Linked DNA regions of Nothobranchius furzeri. The protein of the gene in region 1 purifies or fractionates together with the protein of each later gene. This does not show direct contact. Links are inferred from orthologs where the notes say so. Each region holds a gene or a part of one and is shown in the gene's direction. Other genes may lie near its edges.

Region 1 (4,588 bases):
AGTCACTGAGGAGGATCAGAAGCTTCTGAAGGATTTGCTACCAAGAGCCAGAGGCCTCACCCATCACTGTGCACAGGGCCTTTTTTATGGAGCACAAGTCAAAACTGCCATCTCTGACTGGTGAGAGACAATTCTGACAGGAAAATAGTTGTACTTTATTGTTTTCTTTAGAAATTGCAACAAAGTAAAATGTCAACACTGCAGTTTTGTAATGTTGTGATTTCTTACACATATGGCAATAAAACCCTTCTGATTCTGATTAGATGTGTTCTTTAAAAAATACCTGTTAGACAAATTTGCTATGTTGTAAAGCACATTAAGTAGTGTGCTGCTTACCTAAACCTGATCTGGTAGTGAAAATGAAAGTGGTACGTTATCAGCCAGGCTACATTTCAAAGATAACTGTTAAGTTTGTTTTTTCCTATAACTTCTTCCTGCAGCTACTTTCACATATTAGCTGCAGTATGAGGTGTGCATGAAAGGTATGCATACCACAGCATGACACAAAGGATGAGGTGTTTACACAGAAAAAGTAGTTATACAGGTAAAGCTGTCATTAGCAAGCCTAGTCTATTTTACGTTGATGTTGTTATTCTTAAAATTTTCAGGGTTATTTTGTATTTACTGTTTATGTTTTTGTTTGTTTGTGTAGGTGGGACAAACCAGCCCAGCATGCCCTACCTGATGTCGTTAAAGGAGGGCTGACTTTCCAACAGTGGCTTCAGAGGTGGAGAATAGCTACCAAAGCCTGCTAGTTGACACCTCCACATTTCTACACCTCTTGCTTTAGGAACCTTTAAGAAACAGATTACTATACTGTTAGTTAACTAGTGCACATGTGTAAGCTAATGTGTGTGTGTTGTACTCTTGTTGGAACTCGTTTTATCATGTAAAATGCAGTCATCAATAAATTTTACTCATTTGTTTTTGTCTTAGCTTAATTGCCTCGCTCAGTTACCCGCAATTCATTCGTGTAGAACTATTTACTCCTGCACAGAAAACATGCTGGATGTGGTCACGTGGTGTTACAATAAAGCCGTGCATCGATAGCTCGATCATTTTCTGTACGGTTACAGTTCCGAGGGTTTTAGTTGAACCTACAGTGCGCGTGTGTCATTTAGCGCGGAGCTACATTGTTCTTTGTAGCAGTGAAGGGGGAGTGGAGCAATCTGATTCTTGTGAACTCGGCTCCTCCCACTGCTGCGGCTGCGCACTTCAATTTTTCACTCATTTTTTTTCTTCTTATTTTTCACTCCTACTCTGGCTTCCGGACGCCAAGACAGACCACTGCCGCCGAATTTAAAGAGACAGGCGATAGTTCTTTTAAAAAACGTTAAACGACAACCATTGTGTTCGAGCTTATTTCCCTACCGTTCGTGCTTCCGTCTGCTGAGTTCGCTGGTGATGTTCGGTCGCACTCTCGGCGAGTAGCAGCTTGTCAGTCATCACCCTCCACTCTGCCCGGGGTTCCCTGTTCTTTTCGCCTCTGTGTTGAGACTGTCCAGCCAGGCAAAGTAGGGTTGCTCGCTTGCTGGCAGGCAGGCTGGCTTCCCGACCGAGAGAGCAACGTTTGTCGCCTAGCCAACAACTGGAGGTAACATCGAAGCTTCCCTCGTAAGTTGTGGTAGCGGCTCTCGAGCCCCCTGCCGCCGGGATAATGGCGAAGATTCAGGCGCACAGCGCCGCGAAGCAAATAAACCAAATTCAAGACAAGCCTTACGTTATAACACAAAAGCAAGTGCAGCAGCAGCACTTCCAGAAGCTGAAGGTAAGAGGACAACGGACACGACAAGCGAAAAGTCTCAGTCACAACCATTTTGTTCGTCGGCTCATTTCAACGCATTAGATTTCTCCCCGCTCGAGAGTAGTGAAAGAAACGGCTGGCTAGCGATAGTTGGCTTAACTGGACAAATAAAAGTATTTCACACCTGAATTGTTCGACACTGACATGTAAGGTTAGACGTGGAAGCTGTTTTCCATTAATGAGTGTGCGAGTGACAGTCGAGTGACTCGGTTTGTAGTACTTTTCTTTTTTTTTTCATTTGCGCCATCAATGGTAGCTGCTGTGAGCAAACATAAAACGGCAGACCTCGGTTGTGGGAAGTTCCTCCTTGTTGGATTTTTTTCAGTCAGCTTGAACAAAGTGGGGGACATCAGCCAGGCCAACCAACAACGGCTACTTCAGTTGATTAGCAGCTTCATTTTACGTGTCTTTGTTGTCGCAGTGTGTTTTTAACCTGTCGTTTAGCTTTTGCCGATACGACACATTTGGCCGGGGACCAGCTGCGACTAAACGTATTGTGTAAAAATTGTATGCGGGTGGGTGTTAAGAGTGTTGGGGAGTATTCAGTTGACTGGCTGTGTTGGCTAATGTTAGCTACAACAACCCTCTTCAGATGTAGTCTGTTGGTGACAGTGCTTTGTGTGAACAGTTTTTTTTCCTCTCTCTTCGCTGTCTAAACTAGCTCGTTTGGTTTAGAGAGCTCCAGAGCAATCAACCAAAGCTGCAGAGGTTATTTATATTTAAATCTTTATCGTATGTAATTAAGCGAACACGTGCAGCTTGATCTGCAAATTGTTTTTTGATTAAAAAATATATTATTTACCATGATAGTGGATATTTACATTGTATAATTATAAGAGCCACGTTGTAAGTACTGTGGTGTAAGCAGGGAGCTGTCTCATCCAACGTCCGTCAAATTCATCTTCAACCATCAACAAGATGTAATCTGTTTGAGACTAATTATCCTTTTCTCTCTCTTTTTTTCTGTAATCAGGTTGAAGATGCCTTGTCGTATCTGGATCAAGTCAAAATTCGTTTTGCAAATGACCCAGGAATATACAACAAGTTTCTCGACATCATGAAAGAGTTCAAGTCTCAGAGGTATCTGTGATTATGTCTAAGCAGACTAAACGTTTGTATTAGTCACTCTTGATCAAAGCTGTTCAGAGTTGGACAATGTTCTTGATCTCAAACGTTTTCTTTGTTTTGACTAGAGGTCAACCGATATTGGTTTTTCTAATGCCAATGTCAGTGGCTGATGTGTATTGCAGATTTTTTTGGGCTGCTTTTCATGGCCAATATCCAGACATTTTCCACCTTTTCATGCTAGAATTTCACCATCGATTGATGCACAAAGTTCCTGAATCTGTTTTTGAACTCTTAATTTAACTAATTGTTAAATCTTTGTGTATTGCTCAGTGTTAAAGTCAGACACATAAAGTTAATTTGGAGTGTTTATTATGCAGATGTTATTACTGAATGTAAAAATACATTTAAATTTAATTCTGCAACCACACCGGGCTGCCCAAGGATGAGCCTGACTTTAAATCTGCTTTATTTAGGACAAATATCAGATGATGCCAACGTATAAAAAACAGTAAACGTTAATCTACCCCAAGTTTTGACACAGAAATAATGAACACCACTTTTTTGCTGTTCTTTAATCAACAATTCTTAGAGACAGGAATATTGTGACAAACTGACCACCACTGCAAAAAAAAAAAAAAAAAAAAAAAAACGCTAGTATAGTTTAAAACAAAAAGGTGGGAACAGATTTATAGTACAGTAGTAAAATTAAGTCCGTGAGCTCATTACTTGTCTAATTTTTTCCCTACCTTAACCATATTTCGAAATCACCAGTCTGTGCCTCTGTGTGGTGCTGGGTGGCACACACAACAGCTGTTCATAAATGCTATTTGTTTTCAAATTTGCCAGCTGGCATTTATAAACGTCTGCTAGTTTGGAAAATGATGGTCACAAATGCTGACTGCTGTTTCAGATGTCATTTAAGAAAACATTTAGAAGAAAAAATAAATGAACCACAGTGGCAAAAAGGAAACAATCATATTTTTTACTCCTTTGGTTCTTGGTAAAGGTTCAAAATAGGTCAGAAACTCAAACTAATTATCTGTTATATTATTGACAGACATGCGATATGTCATATAAGCAATTTGGTTCCCAGGAGATGCACAAGTGAAAATGACCCAGAGACATGCTTCTTTACATTACCCAACAATATATACCCAAATATTGGCGCAGTGGTTAGCACTGTTGCCTCGCAGCACGAAGGTCGCAGGTTCAAAACTCAGCTGCGGCCTTTCTGCGTGGAGTTGCGTGTTCTCCCCATGCATGCGTGGGTTTCCTCCGGGTACTCCGGTTTCCCCCACAGATCGCAACATGCCCTATAGGTTATAAATTGTAAGTCGCTTTGGATAAAAGCGTCTGCTAAATTAATAAACATAAACATATATTCCACAAAAGCATCATGATAATGTCTAAAGTCTTGCAACATTTGTACAAACTTCTCACAATCAAGCACTTGTGTCTGGGTCACTTTCATTTTAGAAGATTCTTAGTAGATCACATCGTAGATAAAAGCAGACAAACTTCCTCTTTTAAAAATTTTAATATATTTTTAATTAATTCAGACTGGTGAATCGTTGCTGTAAAACGAATGCTGACGTTGCCTTCACAACTCCCTGTTGTTGTCCTGTGAAAAAGGCAAATACTTTGAGCACACTCTTTGAACCACTTGATTACAGTTGTAGGTACGCCTGACTCGAAAGGAAAACCCTTTTATACAAG
Region 2 (4,134 bases), on another chromosome or scaffold:
TAACAATGGAGCTGACGGGCGGTAAGGAAACCTGAGAGTGATTATTTGCCCTGAGAGGAAAAAACTGGCAAAAGAGAGTGGATATGAGTTCCTGAACATTTAACGTCGGGCTGGGCGATATGGACCAAAACTTTTATCTCTACCTTTGAGCAGAATTACAACATACAGCATGTGTGGATGTTTGTCTTCCTGTAAAGTATTTGTAAGCTAACTTGCTGTATGAAGAAATTATATAAATAATTTCATCAGCAGATTAAATGCATCTTAAAATGAATGTACTCTGCTGCTGTCAGACATTAACCTTAGTGCCATTCTCATCAGTCTGGGCTCTGGAAACACTGGTATGGCTGTCTGTTGAAGATCAAGTCACCCCCTACCAGAGTCTTAACTCCACTCCCACTTCCTGTTTGAAAAATGCAACAAATGCTGTTGCCTAGCAGACCGAAAGTGTGGAGCCGCTTACAAACACACACACAGGCTCACAACATTGTGACATCATATGGTACCAGCCGACGTTCTAGGGTACCTCTTAGCCAATAGTGATGGCAGATTTAAATTCAAATGCGGTGCAGAGTTTTTACCTGACAACGGCACAACACTGACAGTTTTAGGCAGAATATTTAAATTTGAACTAAAATGCACTAAAGTGCAAAACTATTGACGACACGTGTCTGCAGCACGATTAGACACACATTTATATAGTTTATCAGGAATAATAAGTTGATTTGGGGGTGACTTGCTCTTTAAAGCTGTGAATCTACACAACAAGCTAGGTTTGAAACACTCACCCCTCCCCTCTGGTATCTTCCCTGAGACGCTTCTGCCGCAACCAAAAACCTGCATTTTGAGAAGATACAAGATGGCACTAAACACCATTCACCAAAACCGTGATGGGAGCGTCTCTAATGTTAAAGTAGCGGTGTGTAGCTTCCTGCAGCTAGGCGGCAGTACGTGTGTTTCAGGGCAGGTTGACGCCATTGACCTTTGCTAGTTTAGAAAGGCATTATGGTAAATGTTGTTACCTGTGGAGCAGGAAGCATGTGACCTTGGCGTGACTCCTCATGGTCCTTCAGTTAATGCCATCGAGAGAATGCAGTGCCGTTTACAGTTTAGAGGTGCCGTAGTTTCTGGTTCTGCTCGGGGTCCTGCGCCTGCCGATGACGCCACCATACTACGGCAATACCCCTCGGCGAAAATATATTGCGTCTCTTTTTTGATTCTGTTCTATGTTTACGTTTGTTTATTTATTTATTTGTCAGACGCTTTTATCCAAATTTATTATTATTTTTAACTATAGGGCATGTTGTGATCTGTGGGGAAACCGGAGTACCCGGAGGAAACCCACCCATGCATGGGGAGAACACGCAACTCCACGCAAAAAGGCCACAGCCGAGTTTCGAACCTACAACCTTCTTGCTGCGAGGCAACAGTGCTAACCACTGCGCCACCATGCAGCCCCAGTAAATGTGTTCTTTCACACTGGCTTTGGACAGAGATTAGCCGTTTTGTTTTTAAGTTTGGGTTTCTTACTGCCTAAATCTCTGAGCATCACTTCTGTGAGCCGTACGTCCAGCCAATCATCTGTTGTGACATCATCGCCAGGCGCAGGACCACGAGCCGGCCAAAGATGGTGTTTAATATGGCCCCCAAGATGTTAGACCTGCGCCCTGTGTACTTCAGACCCGATTTTCATGGTTGTACGGTACGAAGCCGCCAATATTTCAACAACTGGGCATCATTTTATTCGTCTTCAACAACATTTCGATGGATTTTTCCAGAGATTAACGGTAAAAACTACAGATTGTCTCTTTAACAGAAATGTATTTATTTATTTTTTCACTGACAGACTCAATGGAAGTGAAACCAATCATGACTCGAAAGCTGAGGAGACGGCCCAACGATCCAGTTCCAATTCCAGACAAGCGGAGGAAACCGGCACCAGATATCCTTCAGACAAGCTCGGGCGTCAGTCTCGACTTAATCCTGCTCGGGATCTGTACCGATGGAGCCAAATCTGTTTACTTCTTAACTCCTCAAACCTCAGCTAAATTATTTGTTGACAGATGAGCAGATAATGGAAGATTTAAGAACACTTAATAAGGTTTGTGGGAAGTTCCCGCAGCTCTGCTGATTCTCGTGTGTTTGTCTTCTAAACATTTTTATGCTTTTCTTACAGCTCAAGTCTCCGAAACGACCAGGTATGTTAAAGACCCGCAACAGAACCAGTTCACACATAAACGGATTTTGTGATATGTTCTGACTGTAATGAAAGCATCGCCTTTTCTCACCTGAAAGAACATTTTAAGTACTTTTACTCATCACTGGTCCTTTTCATCTGGTTGCCTGGCGACCATTGCAAAAGTCTGCGTTTTCTGACCTAGAAATGATGCATGAAGCAATTATCCATAACAATACCATGTGTGTGTTTTGTGCAGATCCAGTAATGTGTGAAGCATCGTCTTGATGGGTTTTTTTCCTCAGGTGCCTTGTCGCTAACCGGTTGTGTGTGTGTGTTTAGTGTCTCCCTCGTCTCCAGAACACATCCCGTCTGCGCCCTTGGAGACTCCCTCTCAGCGTTACGAAGCCCGCATCGAAGACGGGAAGCTTTACTACGATAAAAGATGGTAAAAGAGCAAGTGTTCAAATCTAAACGGGCCTTTGTGCCGCATGGTGTAGTGTTTCCTGGGGTGCCTACAGCTTTGGCCACCACTAGATGGCCACGTTGCCACGGGGTTGATGACTCATCACACGCAGGCCTGTTATATTTGAATAACTTGGAGTTTAGTTCTGGGCGACAGGAATAAGGACATCAGTACGAGCTGGGGGCTGACTCCAACTGTTAAATCCGTGTTCAGGAGCACGTCTGCATAGGGAAGCAGCTCCTCGTGCTGCTTTGGTACCCGAGTAAAGATAATAAGAGACCTTGACCAGACGCGGCTTCGACAGACACGTCGGCTCTTCTAAAGGAGACGCCGCAATAAACTTCTCTTATGAGCTGCTGATGTAGACGGAAAGCTGAGAGGTCGAGAGGCACTGGCGCTCGTCTTTGAAGGCGAAGTCTCATTTACGAGAACACCGGAACACCTCCAAGAGCCGGAGGCAGAAACACGTGTCGTTCTTCCTCTGTGGGCTTAATGATCAAACACTTCAGCGAGTCTCGTCTCGCTCGTTTCTGTCCTTTTGATGTGTGGAGTCTTAAAATATGCAACGGGTTTTTGTTTTCACTTTTCAGTCCAGTTATCGACTCGGTTCGTCTCAGGAGAAGCTCCGTCTGAAGTGATATGGTTTTAAAAGGCGAGCCCTTGTTTCCCTCCACAGGTGATTAACTGTGACTTTACTGGTGACAGGTACCACAAGAGTCAAGCCATCTACTTGGAATCAAAAGACAGCACGAAGATCAGCTGTGTCATCAGCTCCGTAGGAACCAACGAGGTGAGTCTTGGTCCTCATGAAACTAAACGTCCTAAAAGACGTAGGAAGAGGTTTTTGGTTATTGTGTCGTTAATCTGAAGCCAAGAGCTTCCGAATCTTCTGTGGAATATTTATCGTTCAACTCGGATACAAATCTCCGATTATCACGAAGCTAATTAATAAAATACATATTTGATCTACTGAAAATTAAAGGAATTTTCTTGAATAAATAATAATGTAACTTTTCATTTATTCTTGCTCTTTTAGGGAACTGTTATGCATTTTTAGGTGTGGATTATGTTAATATTAGTCGTCGTGTAATCGATGTTGAGACTCGTTTACGGTGTTGAAATTTCTCGTGCGTTTAAAACGCCATCTCCCGTTGTCATAGAAACATGCTTTTTCTTTTACAAACGCCACATTTCACAGATGCTCCTGCTAGTATTCATCTAAGGAGGTGTTTCAGCCATTTTAAAGAGCAAGTCACCCCCTACCAGAGTCTTACTCCACACCCACTTCCTGTTTGAAAAATGCAACACATGCTGTTGCCTAGCAGACCGAGAGGGCGGAGCCACTAACAAATACACCCACACACAGGCTCACAATGACATTGTGACATCATATGGTACCAGCTAACATTCTAGGGTACCTCTTAGCCAATAGTGATGGCAGATTTAAATTCAAATGCAGTGCAGAGTTTTTACCTGACAACGGCACAACACT
Region 3 (4,368 bases), on another chromosome or scaffold:
CATCTGTAAGTTTTTTTTTATTGGTTTGATTCTGTTTCATTCCAATCTTTCATTTTTGGCAGTAAAATACAGGAAAGCTAAAATAAATCTTCCTAAATGGTCCAAAAGCTAGCTTCCAATGGCGTTTTGCTATTTTCCTCGTGTCTGGGACTTTATTAAAACACTTATTTATAAATAAAACATTAAAATACAATAAAGGCCAGTGTATCTAATAATCTGGCTTCAGGACGCGCTGATGCTCAGCTCCAGACTCGCCTGTGAGGAAGTGGAAGGTCTCGTTCTCCTCGGTGGTTTTAGCTAGGTCGCTGTATTCCAGGGTGTTGCTGTCCTTCCCGGAGCCGTTGTTGAAGGAGGACAGGGCCAGATGCTGCACAAACAGCTCCTTTACAACAGATTAAAAACTATATTTAGCGATTTTAACTTCACACGATTTTAGTTCAACCACCAGCTAGTTATGCTAACCCCCCGCTAATAGAAACACAACCACATTAGCATCAAGGGCAGCTTACAGTAGCCTTGGTGGTGAGGAACAGCGCGTCTTGGTTGATGCTGGAGACATCCGGAGAGCTCTTCATGATCAGTCTGACCCGGGACACCGGGAGAGAGATGGACTTTTTGGCGTCCGGCGTCTGGCTGTCTTTGTTTGGGTTGTTTCGAGACATTTCTGTTTGGACAAAGGACAAGAATGACTGAACTTTAAGTTTTGTTTTGAAGAGTGACGCCTTTCTTCTTCGCCGTCTTCAATTTCTTTGGTGGTCTTTACGTTGAAACAGCGCCTCCCGCTGGAAAGCAGGAGTATAACCCAGCACAAAAGATGTTATTTCAAACAACACTGTATATTTAGATTAAATTTAATAAATAGTAATTAAATTTTACCCTGATACTATATTTGTATTTTAAAAAAGTACCTGACAATCATTCCAACCAGCTCTTGGGAAACGGTCAAAACAGAACCATGCTTGAGAGAAACAACTTTCAGCTTGTTTAAAACTATTATATTTAATATAATATAATTTAATATAATATACTTAAATATACAAATGAATAATCTCGAATAAACTCTATCATTATTTTTGCCATAGTGAGGCAAAGGAAATGGAACTCTTTTTATTTTGTTTGCATTTGTTTCTATTCTCCATGAATCACAGGTCCTAGTGTAAAAATGTGTTTGTTAGAATACAGTAAAATAAACTGCAGAATTGTTTATAAAAGTAAACAAAAGTAATTAACATTATTTTAGTTCCTCAAAGGATTATACCAATTTTCTAAAAACTTTTAAGGAAATCTGTAAAAAATATGAAATACATTAAAAAACAGGAACAACCACCACTACTACTCTGCCTCCTCCTCCTCCTCCTCCTCCTCCTCCTCCTACTACTACTACTACTACTACTACTACTACTACTACTACTACTACTACTACTACTACTTCTACTACTTCTACTAGCTACTACTAACAATAAAAATATTAATAATTTAAATAATTTAAAGTAGAAGACGTTTTATTTGTCTGTTAGTGGGGAAAGCCAGTCTTTCAATCAGCAAAAACCTGTAAAAATAAAGAGTGAAAAAGATACAATCAAAGGCATGGAAAGTAACAACTTTGTTAAACAGATAATAATCAAATAAACGGTTATCTCCCATTGTAATAATAATGATAAGAAGAAGAAGGCCGCTGCTTCAGCACTCAATAAGTTAATTCCTATATCAATCCAAACTTTTTAAACATGTGAATGAGTGATACTAGTGATCAATAGTTTATTATTTTAATCCTGAAAAAACACAAAGTTGTTGTTCATGCACTCATATCTATTTTAACAACGATAATAAGGAAATACTGACTCACATTTAGCTGCCCCAGCCCAGCGCCCGACGCAGTCCTCCACACCAGTAGGCGGCGCTTGACTTCAATAGTTTTCCGACCTCAGAACAAAGGAAACGCTGAAGAAGAACCTCCGCGCTGAAAGTAGAAACAAGTCAGTACATAAATAATGCTGCTTTAACTTCGTTGTGTTTTAAGGCTTTTTGATGTCTTTACGGTTATTTTTGTTTGATAATCGTTGGCGAAATATGCTAAAGCTACATCCGGTCGTGATCTGGTAATAAGCCAAGCAGCTGCGTTTCTGTTGTGATCGTTTTTACGTACGGAGGCATCGTTCTCTAGCCGGTAAAATGCCTCTGGGTTTGAAGCCGTGCTGCTTTGTCTGTAAGACGAACTCTTCCTCAATGTGGAAGAAAGGCACCCAGGGTGAAATACTGTGCAACAACTGCACAGGGAAGAGCAGCAGTAGCGGCGGCGGCGGGGGAGCTTCGGGACCCTCCTCCATATCAACCATCACACAGCCCAGCAACGGCGGGGCCAAGCAGGTCAGAAACACCGAAGAGAAACGCCACGAACAAAATCCGAGAGTTCATGAGGAATTGTTAGTTTTTATGTCTTATTTTAGTTAATTTTTAGAAAGCGTACACATGACTATAACATCATTGTTTTTGCTTTTCTTTAGTAGTGTCTTGGTGTAACAACAGCGCCCCCTGGTGGCCATGAAAATGTTTCTAGAAAGTAAACTGGAATAAAATAGTTTGAAAATAATACTTCATGTCATTTTTTTAATAAAATAATTTTACCATTTAGTTTAATATTTTTAATTAAAATAAACTGATTTATAGTTTTTTTTTCTGCTGAAAAAATGCCATCAGGAGCAGAAATATTTAAATGTGTCCATTTGTAGTCCAAACAGGAAATCCACAGGAGGTCTGCACGGCTGAGAAGCACCAAGTACAAAGCTCCTGCTTCTGAGAAAAAAGTGTCAACAAAAGGAAAAGGAAGAAGACACATTTTCAAGCTCAAAAATGTAAGTTTCTGCTTCTTTAATGTATTTATTTCTGATATCTTTTATTTGACCTCATCCAAATTATTTCCTCGCAGCCTATCAAAGCACCAGAATCCGTAGCAACAATCATCACATCAGAATCTATATTTTATAAGGTATGATTCTGATTCGTATTAAACTAAAAGGCATCGTAATGATGATACTTTAATCTTTTCTTCTTCCATCCTGTGTTTGTATTTGCAGGGCGTTTACTACCAGGTGGGCGATGTGATCAAAGTGATAGATGAGGAGGATGGAAAGCCGTACTACGCTCAGATCAGAGGATTTGTGCAGGACCAGTACTGTGAGAAAAGTGCAGCACTGACGTGGCTCATTCCCACTCAGGCCAGCTCGAGCGATCAATTTAACCCTGGAACGTACATCGTCGGTAAGAACTGTGGCTAAATAAAGGATTTTTTTTGTGAGTGATTTATCTTATTTCGCTTTATTATGTTTATCAGGACCAGAGGAGGATCTACCCAGAAAGATGGAATACTTGGAGTTTGTGTGCCACGCCCCATCGGAGTATTTCAAGTCTCAGAGCTCCCCATTCCCCACCATCCCCATATGTCCTGAAAAGGGTTACATCTGGACCCACATAGGATCCACACCAACTCTTACTGTCAAAGAGTCTGTCAGCAGCGCGAGCTAACAGGACCGATGTGGACTTGGCCTGTTGCCTGTTGTTGTCAAACAGATAAATGTACATTTATGTAACATAGAGAAAATGGTTGCGGACGGCAGCCACTATTTCAGTATAAAGGAAAGTTGCAATTTGATACTAGATGGACGGCGTATACAAGTTGTTTACACATAACTGCAATATTGGAATAAATTTGCAAATAAAAAAATGTGAAAAAACCCTTCAAGCATCAGTTTTGCCTGTTATTGTTGAAGAAAGTTTGTGCAAGAATTTCAGTATCCTGCAAATAATATTATTTTGTTATTTGGAAATGAAATGTTTAGTTTTTACTTCTTATTTACATTCTATAGATTTAAAAACACCAATAAATAATTTAAAACGGATTTGTTTATTTTATAATAAATCAATTACAAAAAATGTATTTTTCAATTTTACTGAATGCAATATTTATGAATTTATAAATAGAAAATGGTTTAATTAATCGTGTCTATCAAATGTAATACAGGTCCAGATATTAAAACCAAGCTTGTGAATAATAAACTGGTAAAACTGTACAATAAGGGTCCCTTTATTAACATTACTTTCTGCATTAATAAACTATTAAAGTTAACAATATTACGTCATGCATTACTAAGCAGACACCCCCTCCCCTCCCTTTGTCCCAACCTTAAGGACACTTAATAGTTAATGCTAATTAAGCGAGCTTTTATTAATGCTTAATACACTGTGTAACGCTAATAAAGGCACCCTTATTGTAAAGCGTTACCAATAAACCTCCCTGAAGTGTAAAGCTGCCCATCTCAGCGGTACAAAGTCCTAAACAGACACCGTGTCCCATCGAAGGACATGACACAG
Region 4 (4,134 bases), on another chromosome or scaffold:
TGATGGATCTCCTTCACTAACCAGCTAACTACAAACCTTTCCACTAACCTGTCCTGTGGGACCCTCACCCTTTAACCCTCATGTCCATGCTGTCTCTGGAGGAGCAGATAGGAGACAGACCTCCTGTAACTTAAAATGAACCAAAGCTTCCTCCCAGTTTCTCTTTAAGATGAGTTTAACATCAGTTTATCTTCATGACACAAAATAATAAAGTGGAACAAGAACTTCTATTTCTCTCTCCTTTTAACTTCTCCGTGTCCCTAAATAAAAGAGACAGACGATCACGCTGCAGCCGCTGTCACTGACCCCGCCCCCTCCCCAAGACCGGCTCTCCCTACATTACAACAAGCAGTCTGACTGAGCGCTTCCAGGAGAAATAATAATTAAATTATGAAAATAATAACGCGTGTTTGGAGGAGCGTCCTCCGATCGTCTCTCTGAGCAGACAGTGTCTCTCTCTCTCTCTCTCTGTCGCTGATCGAGCGAGCGGAGCGCGCCGCACGACAACCGCTCAATTAACATAATTCACGGCCCAAATCCAACAGAACCGGTCGGGCTGATTCTGTTCCGGTTTGGTCTCGGGTGACAACTCTAGTGCTCAGCCCTGCAGTACCACATTAAGGCGGAGGTAAATGTGGAGGACGCTCACTCAGACAGACTTGGATCTGCGCTGGTGCCGCCATTAAAAAAACAAAACTACATTCCACTATAATCGATTATGGCGTACTCTTCTACGATGCAGAATCGTTTATGTCCGCATCCCGATGCATCGATTATTTGATTATTTTCCTCAGCTCTAGGTGTTGTGGTAGGCTAAATCCATTTTACAGTATTTACACTGGAGTACGTTTTCCACCTTACGACGTGAAAAATGGTCCCACACCTTTGACATTTTGTTTCGTTTTCGCACTCCACCGGGGTCCACGTTGTCCGCCGTGGCTTAAAAGAAAGTTAAGTTGCGTTCGCTGCTCGCGTGTGCATTCAGTGCAGTGTGTATGTGCGTCACTCATTTCGTACCGGGTGAAACATGACCACGGGCGCTTGCAAAGCCATTAATTAATTAAACATGAATTAAACGAAGCTTCGAGGCAGAGAATTTGACTCGAGGATTTTTTGTACTCGAATTATTCGAGGTACTCGAGGAATCGTTTCAGCCCTACTTGTTTGTACTTTACGATGGACTTTCACATTATGGATACGTTTTGTGGCGAGCCGGTGGTCTGATACCTGCAAGCTGCAGGCACAGATGACATGCTGCATTTTTCTTTAGTTTTTTTTGTTAAATTCTTACGATTATCATTATGACCTTGAACTACTGTGATATGATTTTGAGGCTATAAAACCCACCCCATTCTCACCTGCTAAACATGTAGCCAGTTTAACGAAGTACTGTAGGACTCCATCCCTCTACCACGCCGTTTTCCCTAAAGGCCAGGTTCACTTGTTTTTTCAATACATTTGCAGTGGTCTCCGGTATTTGTAAACACCTTGTGAGTTGATTTTTGTGAGGAGAAAACGCTGTGGTACATTTTTATTAAGAATTCAACACAATATTTTTTCAGGCTGTACTAAAGTCCCCGATGCCCAGCCGTCTTATCGCCCCGGCACCAGCTTCCAACCAGGCTCATATGTCCAAGGTGGCAAGTCACATTACTGTCACCATAGAGAGCACTATGCCCACCACGCCATCTATCCCCGTGGCAACCATCAGTGGTCAACAGGTGAGTGTTTGTCACATGAATTTTCTGTTTAGTTTGGTTTTCCTGTTATGGACGTGTTCTGTTTTCCTGCTGCTTCAGGGTCACTCCAGTAACTTACACCACCTGATGCCAGCAAATATTCACATCATTAGGGCGCCCGCCGTCCCTCCCCAGACCTTCACTTCCCATTTACCTCTAGGTATGAAGTTTCTGATACGATCAGTACACCAGGATTGATGTTTACTTGTCGTTGAAACAGTTCTGTCTCTCACTCAGCCGTTTTAATAAGTCATTTCATGGTTTACCCTGCAGGGGCTGCTCAAGCAGCTGTTATGTCCAGCTCCAAAACAGCCTTGCGGCCTGCTACTGGAGCGAGCGGGGGCCCTGGCCAGCCCACAATGCAGCACATCATCCATCAGACTATTCAGGTGCATGGAACTGAACCTAGAGGAGGGGTTAGTTGTTCCGAACAAGAAACCGTCTGTGTAACATATTCTGTCCTTCTGTCTGCAGTCGCGCCCTGCTGTAACAACCTCCACCGCTGTGCTCCCGACTGTTGTGGCCCCCATTTCAGCAACTAGAACGCAGTCTCCAGTTATCAACCCAACTGTCACTCACTCGGATGGGACTCTTGGGTACGTTCTACATCTATGGAAGAGATCAGAGGTTACGTTTCAATCAGCTAACCTGCAGCAGTTCACACCTTTTTAGTTTTAGAAGAAGAAGAAGAAAATATCATTTCTATAGCGCCTCTCAAGACAAAAATCACGAGGCGCTTCACAAAAACAAAAAATGTAAAAATATAAAAAAGCATTTAGAAAATGTTTAAAAATACATTTAAAATGAGCAAAAATAAGATGTTGCGATTTAAAAGAAAAAATGTTGAGAGAGAGTGAACAGGAAAGAAGGAAACCAGTGGATCCTGAGGAAGGTGGAATAGGTGGGGAGAGCAGAACAAAGAGAGAGAGGTGAAGAAGGTCATACAAAAGCCAGCTTGAACAAGTGAGTCTTCAGCTGCTTTTTAAAGGAGACCACTGAGTCCACTGATCTCAGGCTCAGGGGGAGAGAGGTCCAGAGTCTGGGGGCCACAGCAGCAGATGACCTGTCACCTTTGACCTTTAGCCTGGTGCTGCACAACCAGTAGGCTTTGATCACTGGACCTCAGGGACCTGCTGGGGGTGTAGGGACTAAGAAGATCACCAATGTAAGATGGTGCTTGTCCATGTAAGGCCTTATAGACCAGAACCAGGATCTTGAAATGAACCCTGAAGTTGACTGGCAGCCAGTGAAGCTGGAGGAGAAGCGGGGTGATGTGGGTGTGTTTGGAGGACTTGGTCAGAAGCCGAGCACAGGCGTTCTGAACCACCTGTAGACGGTTCAGGGAGGTTCTGCTCAGACACGTGAAAAGAGAGTTACAGTAGTCTAAGCGTGAGGAGATGAAGGTGTGGAGAACTGTCTCAAGTTCAGAGCGGGACAGAATGGGACTCAGCTTAGCAACGTTCCTGAGATGGAAGAAGGAAGAGCCAACAAGAGAACTGACATGAGAATCCAGGGTGAGAGCTGGGTCAAAGGTCATACCAAGATTCCTGACAGAAGGTTGGGTGTGGGAAGCAAGCTGACCAAGAGAGTCTCTGACTTTGGGAACCAGCTTGTCTGGGGCACAGATGAGGATCTCAGTCTTATCTTCATTCAGCTGAAGAAAGCTCCCACCATCCAGGCTTTGATAGAGTCTAAGCAGGTGTGTAACAGCTGCAGCTTAGACATCTCATGGGGCTTAAAGGAGATGTACAGTTGGATGTCATCTGCATAAAGATGGTAGGAGATTCCTTTGAAGGAGCTCAGGATGTGCTGAAGAGGAAGCAGATAGAGGAGGAAGAGCAGAGGCCCCAGCACAGAACCTTGTGGGACACCATGGGTGAGAGAGGTGGTGGAGGATCTAAACTTGAGGACAGCCACAGAAAAGGAGCGCTCAGAGAGATAAGAGGAGAACCACTCCAGAGCAGATCCTGATAGGCCTACCCAGTCTCTCAGCCTCTCCAGTAGCAGGTGATGGTCAACAGTGTCAAAGGCTGCAGTCAGGTCCAGCAGGACCAGAACAGAACAGTCCCCTGCATCACTGTGGGTCAGAAGGTCATTGGAGACCCTAAGAAGAGCTGTTTCAGTAGAATGAGCTCTACGAAAACCTGACTGGAAGCTATCATAGATGTTATGTTGATCAAGAGCAGCTGTGAGTTGTTTAGCCACAACCTTTTCCAAGATCTTGGAGATGAATGGAAGTTTAGAGATGGGTCTGAAGCTGCTGTGGAGAGAGAGGTCGAGACTCGTTTTTTTAAGAAGCGGGTGGATTACAGCGTTCTTAAAGTAAGCAGGGACCTGACCAGAGACCAGAGAAGCATTAATTATAGAGAGCACGCTGGGACCGATGGACTGAAAA
Region 5 (4,134 bases), on another chromosome or scaffold:
AGCACGGTGTTCCTGTAGGGTGGATGTTTGATCTGAGGACGTGTCTGTATGGTCTCTGTTGTTCCCCGGCCTTATCTTTGTGACTGCGTCTCAGGTTTACAGGACTAACCAGTGTGCCGGGGAGTTTGTGGTGACCTTCCCCAGAGCCTATCACAGCGGCTTCAACCAGGGCTACAACTTTGCAGAAGCTGTTAATTTCTGCACAGCTGACTGGGTGAGGAGAGTCCTCCTAGCACATTCCATTTAACACCGCTCTTGTTTCCTTCACGGCGGAGTTAGTCACGCTTTCACATGCTCTCCCAGTTACCTTTGGGGCGCCAGTGCGTTGCTCACTACCGACGGCTCCACCGCTACTGCGTCTTCTCCCACGAAGAACTGTTGTGCAAGATGGCGGCTGATCCCGAGAGCCTCGACGTGGAACTGGCTGCGTCCATTTTCAAGGAGATGGGAGAGATGATAGAGGAGGAGACGAAGCTCAGGCAGGCTGTCCAAGAAATGGTGAACATGTCAAAAGTGTTGGACTGCACCGTGACTGAGCTGAAATTCAAACCTAACCGTTAAAAATCATCTTTTGTTTCCTGGATGTAGGGGGTGCTGTCATCAGAACAGGAGGTCTTTGAGCTCGTTCCAGACGATGAGCGTCAGTGTCACAAGTGTAAGACCACCTGCTTCCTTTCGGCGTTGACCTGTCCCTGTTGTCCGGACCGGCTGGTTTGCCTCCATCATGCCAAGGATCTCTGCGACTGTCCTCTTGGCAACAAGTGTCTTCGGTAGGAATTTTCATGAATAAAAAACCTGTTTCTTTTGTGGGCTAAATTTAGAAGTCGGGATCCTAACTTGGTGTTCCATTTCTTCCGTTAACCACCTTCAGCTTCGTTTTTATGTCTCAGATATCGTTATGATCTGGAGGAGTTTCCATCCATGTTGTATGGCGTTAAGACCCGGGCTCAGTCCTACGACACCTGGGCCAAGAGGGTCTCTGAAGCTTTGGTAGCGGATCAGAAGAACAAAAAAGGTCCATGCATGTTTTTCTCCACAGTCTTAAACCTTATTATAACCTGAAAATGCACATAAAACATGTTCCTTTTTCAATCTGATCAGAACTTTTATCTATTAGCTCCAAAACTGAAACAGAAATCTAATCTCGAACGTATCCCTTTGAATTTTTATCTCCTTGTTTGTCTTATAGATTTGATTGAACTCAAGGTTTTGCTGGAGGACGCAGAAGACAGGAAATACCCTGAGAACTCGTTGTTCCGTCGCTTGAGGGAGATGGTGAAAGAAGCGGAGACGTGTTCCTCAGTGGCTCAGTTGTTGCTCAGCCGTAAGCAGAGGCACAGGTCTGTACACCTTCACACCACAGGCCAGCAGTGGAGCTCCCATTGTCAGGTCCAGAGAAGAGCTGACGGTGTCGTCTGTTTTTGCAGCAGCCGCCTTCGTTCTGAAAGCAGCCGTAATCGCACCAAACTGACCGTAGATGAGCTGAAAGCCTTTGTGGGCCAGCTCTACAGGCTGCCATGTATCATCAGCCAGGCGCGACAAGTCAAAGTCAGTCCTGTCTGTTATTGTTATACGATGCCCACATACAGCATGTTTCCTCCTGCTTCACTCCTCTGATGACATCTGACCTCTTTTCTTTAACTCCCCATGTGTTTTTAGGAGTTACTGGAGACTGTGGAGGACTTCCACGAGCGAGCCCAGGTGGCTTTATCAGACGAGACGCCCGATTCCGCCAAGCTGCAGGAGCTTTTGGATCTGGGAAGCGGCCTGGACGTAGAGCTGCCCGAGCTGCCTAGACTCAAACAGGAGCTGCAACAGGCCAGGTGGCTTGATGAGGTGAGCTGTTAAAGTGGGAGCCAAGGCCTGGGTGGAGACGTATTTCATCCACACTTCCTGTTAACAAAACACTTCTAAAAGAGCCTGATGAACCGAGAGAGCAGCACTGAGGCAATGACAGATGGCAACCCCCCAGCGTGCGCTGTTTCTCTGTTGAAAAACAAGTCCACGAGCACACATGGAAGCAAGCATACACTCACAGCAGACTTACCTCTCAGGAGAAGAGCAGACACAGATTCTGCAGCATTCTGGAGGATTTTATGTCCACTGAGATCATTAGACGAAAAGGGGAGGAGGGCTTTTTTTTTTTTTTAAAGGAGGCAAGCAGCTCAGAGCTCCAACATGTCATATCGGCAGGTGAGTAGTTGAGCCGGATGGAGGTGCGGCTGCCTCACCTGGAGACCAGTGCATTGCAGCCTTGTAGTAATTTGCTGACAATGTCACGTTTTTCAGCTTAGCCGTCAGCCACAGCTGATTCTAAATAAATGTGGAGATGAGTTTTTAACCTGAAGATGGTGATAGAATTACGGTTTGGGGCTGAAATAAGTTTAACGTAAGTTGCACTAAACTGCCACACTAATGGTTACACATGTCTACAGCACTATTAGACACTCATCTATCTTTATCAGCAAAAAGGTTAATTTAGGTGTTACTCACTCTTTAACCAATCCCAGCCAAGACTTTAGTAAACCTGTCCCTTAGCAGGGATTTGTTAGGATTGTAGAGGCTTAACACGTCTGATTATTCAAAGAATTGCAACGTTGTTGTGCTTTGAGACTTTATTTCTTTCCATAAGATGGCAAGAAAAAAAAACAATTTAATCAGGGACTCCAACTAATAATAATAATAATAATAATAATAATACATTTTATTTAAAAGTGCCTTTCAGGACACCCAAGGTCACTTGACAGAAAATACTTAATAAAATACAATAAAACAATAATAAAACCCAAACAAGGAAAAAAAAACTGAGAGAAACAGTTCAGTAAAATCAGAGGTTGTAGGCAGATTTAAACATATGTGTTTTGAGTTTAGTTTTGAAAAGGGTAAAACTGTCGATGTTCCTGATGTCTGGGGGAAGTGAGTTCCAGAGACGAGGAGCAGAGTGGCTGAAAGCTCTGCTCCCCATGGTAGCGAGACGGGCAGAAGGAACCGCAAGATGGATGGAAGAAGAAGATCTGAGTGAACGGGATGGGGTGTGAATACTTATAAGGTCTGAGATATATGGAGAAGAGAGGTTGTGGATTGCTTTGAAGGTATGGAGGGGAATTTTGGAGATGGACCTGAATTTAACTGGGAGCCAGTGAAGTTGTTGGAGAACCGGGGTGATGTGGTGAAAGGAAGGGTTTCTGGTGATAATACGGGCTGCTGAATTCTGGACCAGTTGCAGTTTATGAAGGAGTTTGTTGGGGAGACCATAAAGAAGTGAATTGCAATAGTCGAGACGGGAGGTGACGAGGCTGTGGACGAGAATGGCGGCAGTGTGAGGGGTCAGTGAGGGGCGAAGACGGTTTATGGAACGTAGATGGAAGTATGCTGACCGAATTATGTTATTAATGTGAGCTCTAACCCTGTCCTTATTCGTGCACACCGAAAATTCCTTAAATGGCCTGGAAAATGGCCCGGTGGAATGGACGCGCATGCCGGGAAATGCTGGTAAATTTACCCTGAAGTTCCGCTCGTGGAAACACGCCTAAAGTTTCAAATGCTCTGGAGCCTCAAAGAACAAACTATTATATAGGGTTAAATGCATAGAGATGACCTTGTAAATATGAAGAAGAACAAAGAAAAAAAAAGCTGTAAACGTGATAGTGTGAAGAGGTTTTTAAACTAATAGTGGATGAGTTAATTTGCATATTGGAAACCTTTGAGAATTGGAAAATAGTTTTACATCATCAAGAGTCTCTGTTTTTACACACCGTGTCTCCTCGAGCAGCAACTGTCAGTGATGCTGGTTACAAATCCTTATGGTGACTCATGATGCAGTCTCCTGTGCACATTCAAAGTAAATCACTTAATTATTTTAAATATTTTACTCCCTAAAATACTCAGCTCTGAAATGGAAATCCAGAAAGTAAAATTTAAAGCCTGAATGTAAAACGACTAGAGCTCTTTTTCCATCTTCATCAAACTTCAGGTCCGTGTCACCCTTTCTGAACCACACTGTGTCACTCTGGAGCTGATGAAGAGGCTGATCGACTGGGGGGTGGGACTGGCTCCACATCATGCTGTGGAGAAGGCGATGGCAGAGCTACAAGAGGTCCTCACTGTCTCAGAGAGGTGGGAGGACAAGGCACG

What was found.
Region 2: the proteins of sin3b (region 1) and suds3 purify together in Homo sapiens (affinity purification with mass spectrometry; 3 studies listed by BioGRID and IntAct, counting the BioPlex papers as one, with this or other methods). This does not show direct contact. The link is inferred for Nothobranchius furzeri from reciprocal best matches to the Homo sapiens genes SIN3B and SUDS3.
Region 3: the proteins of sin3b (region 1) and gatad1 purify together in Homo sapiens (affinity purification with mass spectrometry; 5 studies listed by BioGRID and IntAct, with this or other methods). This does not show direct contact. The link is inferred for Nothobranchius furzeri from reciprocal best matches to the Homo sapiens genes SIN3B and GATAD1.
Region 4: the proteins of sin3b (region 1) and sap130a purify together in Homo sapiens (affinity purification with mass spectrometry; 3 studies listed by BioGRID and IntAct, with this or other methods). This does not show direct contact. The link is inferred for Nothobranchius furzeri from reciprocal best matches to the Homo sapiens genes SIN3B and SAP130.
Region 5: the proteins of sin3b (region 1) and kdm5a purify together in Homo sapiens (affinity purification with mass spectrometry; 4 studies listed by BioGRID and IntAct, with this or other methods). This does not show direct contact. The link is inferred for Nothobranchius furzeri from reciprocal best matches to the Homo sapiens genes SIN3B and KDM5A.

The regions. Positions count from the first base shown.
Region 1 is NC_091748.1:57,507,184-57,511,771, reverse strand, and holds the start of sin3b (paired amphipathic helix protein Sin3b), read left to right. Parts: upstream 1-1,455; 5' UTR 1,456-1,657; coding exon 1,658-1,768; intron 1,769-2,777; coding exon 2,778-2,884; intron 2,885-4,588. Other genes in the region: haus5 (HAUS augmin-like complex subunit 5), read left to right, coding at 1-120, 653-755.
Region 2 is NC_091750.1:34,589,454-34,593,587, forward strand, and holds part of suds3 (sin3 histone deacetylase corepressor complex component SDS3), read left to right. Parts: coding exon 1-21; intron 22-1,846; coding exon 1,847-1,942; intron 1,943-2,039; coding exon 2,040-2,101; intron 2,102-2,176; coding exon 2,177-2,198; intron 2,199-2,518; coding exon 2,519-2,624; intron 2,625-3,347; coding exon 3,348-3,432; intron 3,433-4,134.
Region 3 is NC_091759.1:18,088,236-18,092,603, reverse strand, and holds gatad1 (GATA zinc finger domain-containing protein 1), read left to right. Parts: upstream 1-1,945; 5' UTR 1,946-2,172; coding exon 2,173-2,367; intron 2,368-2,729; coding exon 2,730-2,852; intron 2,853-2,926; coding exon 2,927-2,986; intron 2,987-3,074; coding exon 3,075-3,258; intron 3,259-3,331; coding exon 3,332-3,522; 3' UTR 3,523-3,745; downstream 3,746-4,368. Other genes in the region: chrac1 (chromatin accessibility complex protein 1), read right to left, coding at 256-382, 510-662. UniProt on the Homo sapiens protein: Component of some chromatin complex recruited to chromatin sites methylated 'Lys-4' of histone H3 (H3K4me), with a preference for trimethylated form (H3K4me3).
Region 4 is NC_091756.1:60,898,578-60,902,711, reverse strand, and holds part of sap130a (histone deacetylase complex subunit SAP130a), read left to right. Parts: intron 1-1,562; coding exon 1,563-1,721; intron 1,722-1,799; coding exon 1,800-1,899; intron 1,900-2,012; coding exon 2,013-2,128; intron 2,129-2,213; coding exon 2,214-2,335; intron 2,336-4,134. UniProt on the Homo sapiens protein: Acts as a transcriptional repressor. May function in the assembly and/or enzymatic activity of the mSin3A corepressor complex or in mediating interactions between the complex and other regulatory complexes.
Region 5 is NC_091741.1:53,784,144-53,788,277, forward strand, and holds part of kdm5a (lysine-specific demethylase 5A), read left to right. Parts: coding exon 1-14; intron 15-94; coding exon 95-214; intron 215-303; coding exon 304-498; intron 499-588; coding exon 589-770; intron 771-890; coding exon 891-1,015; intron 1,016-1,189; coding exon 1,190-1,340; intron 1,341-1,427; coding exon 1,428-1,548; intron 1,549-1,659; coding exon 1,660-1,836; intron 1,837-3,973; coding exon 3,974-4,134. UniProt on the Homo sapiens protein: Histone demethylase that specifically demethylates 'Lys-4' of histone H3, thereby playing a central role in histone code. Does not demethylate histone H3 'Lys-9', H3 'Lys-27', H3 'Lys-36', H3 'Lys-79' or H4 'Lys-20'.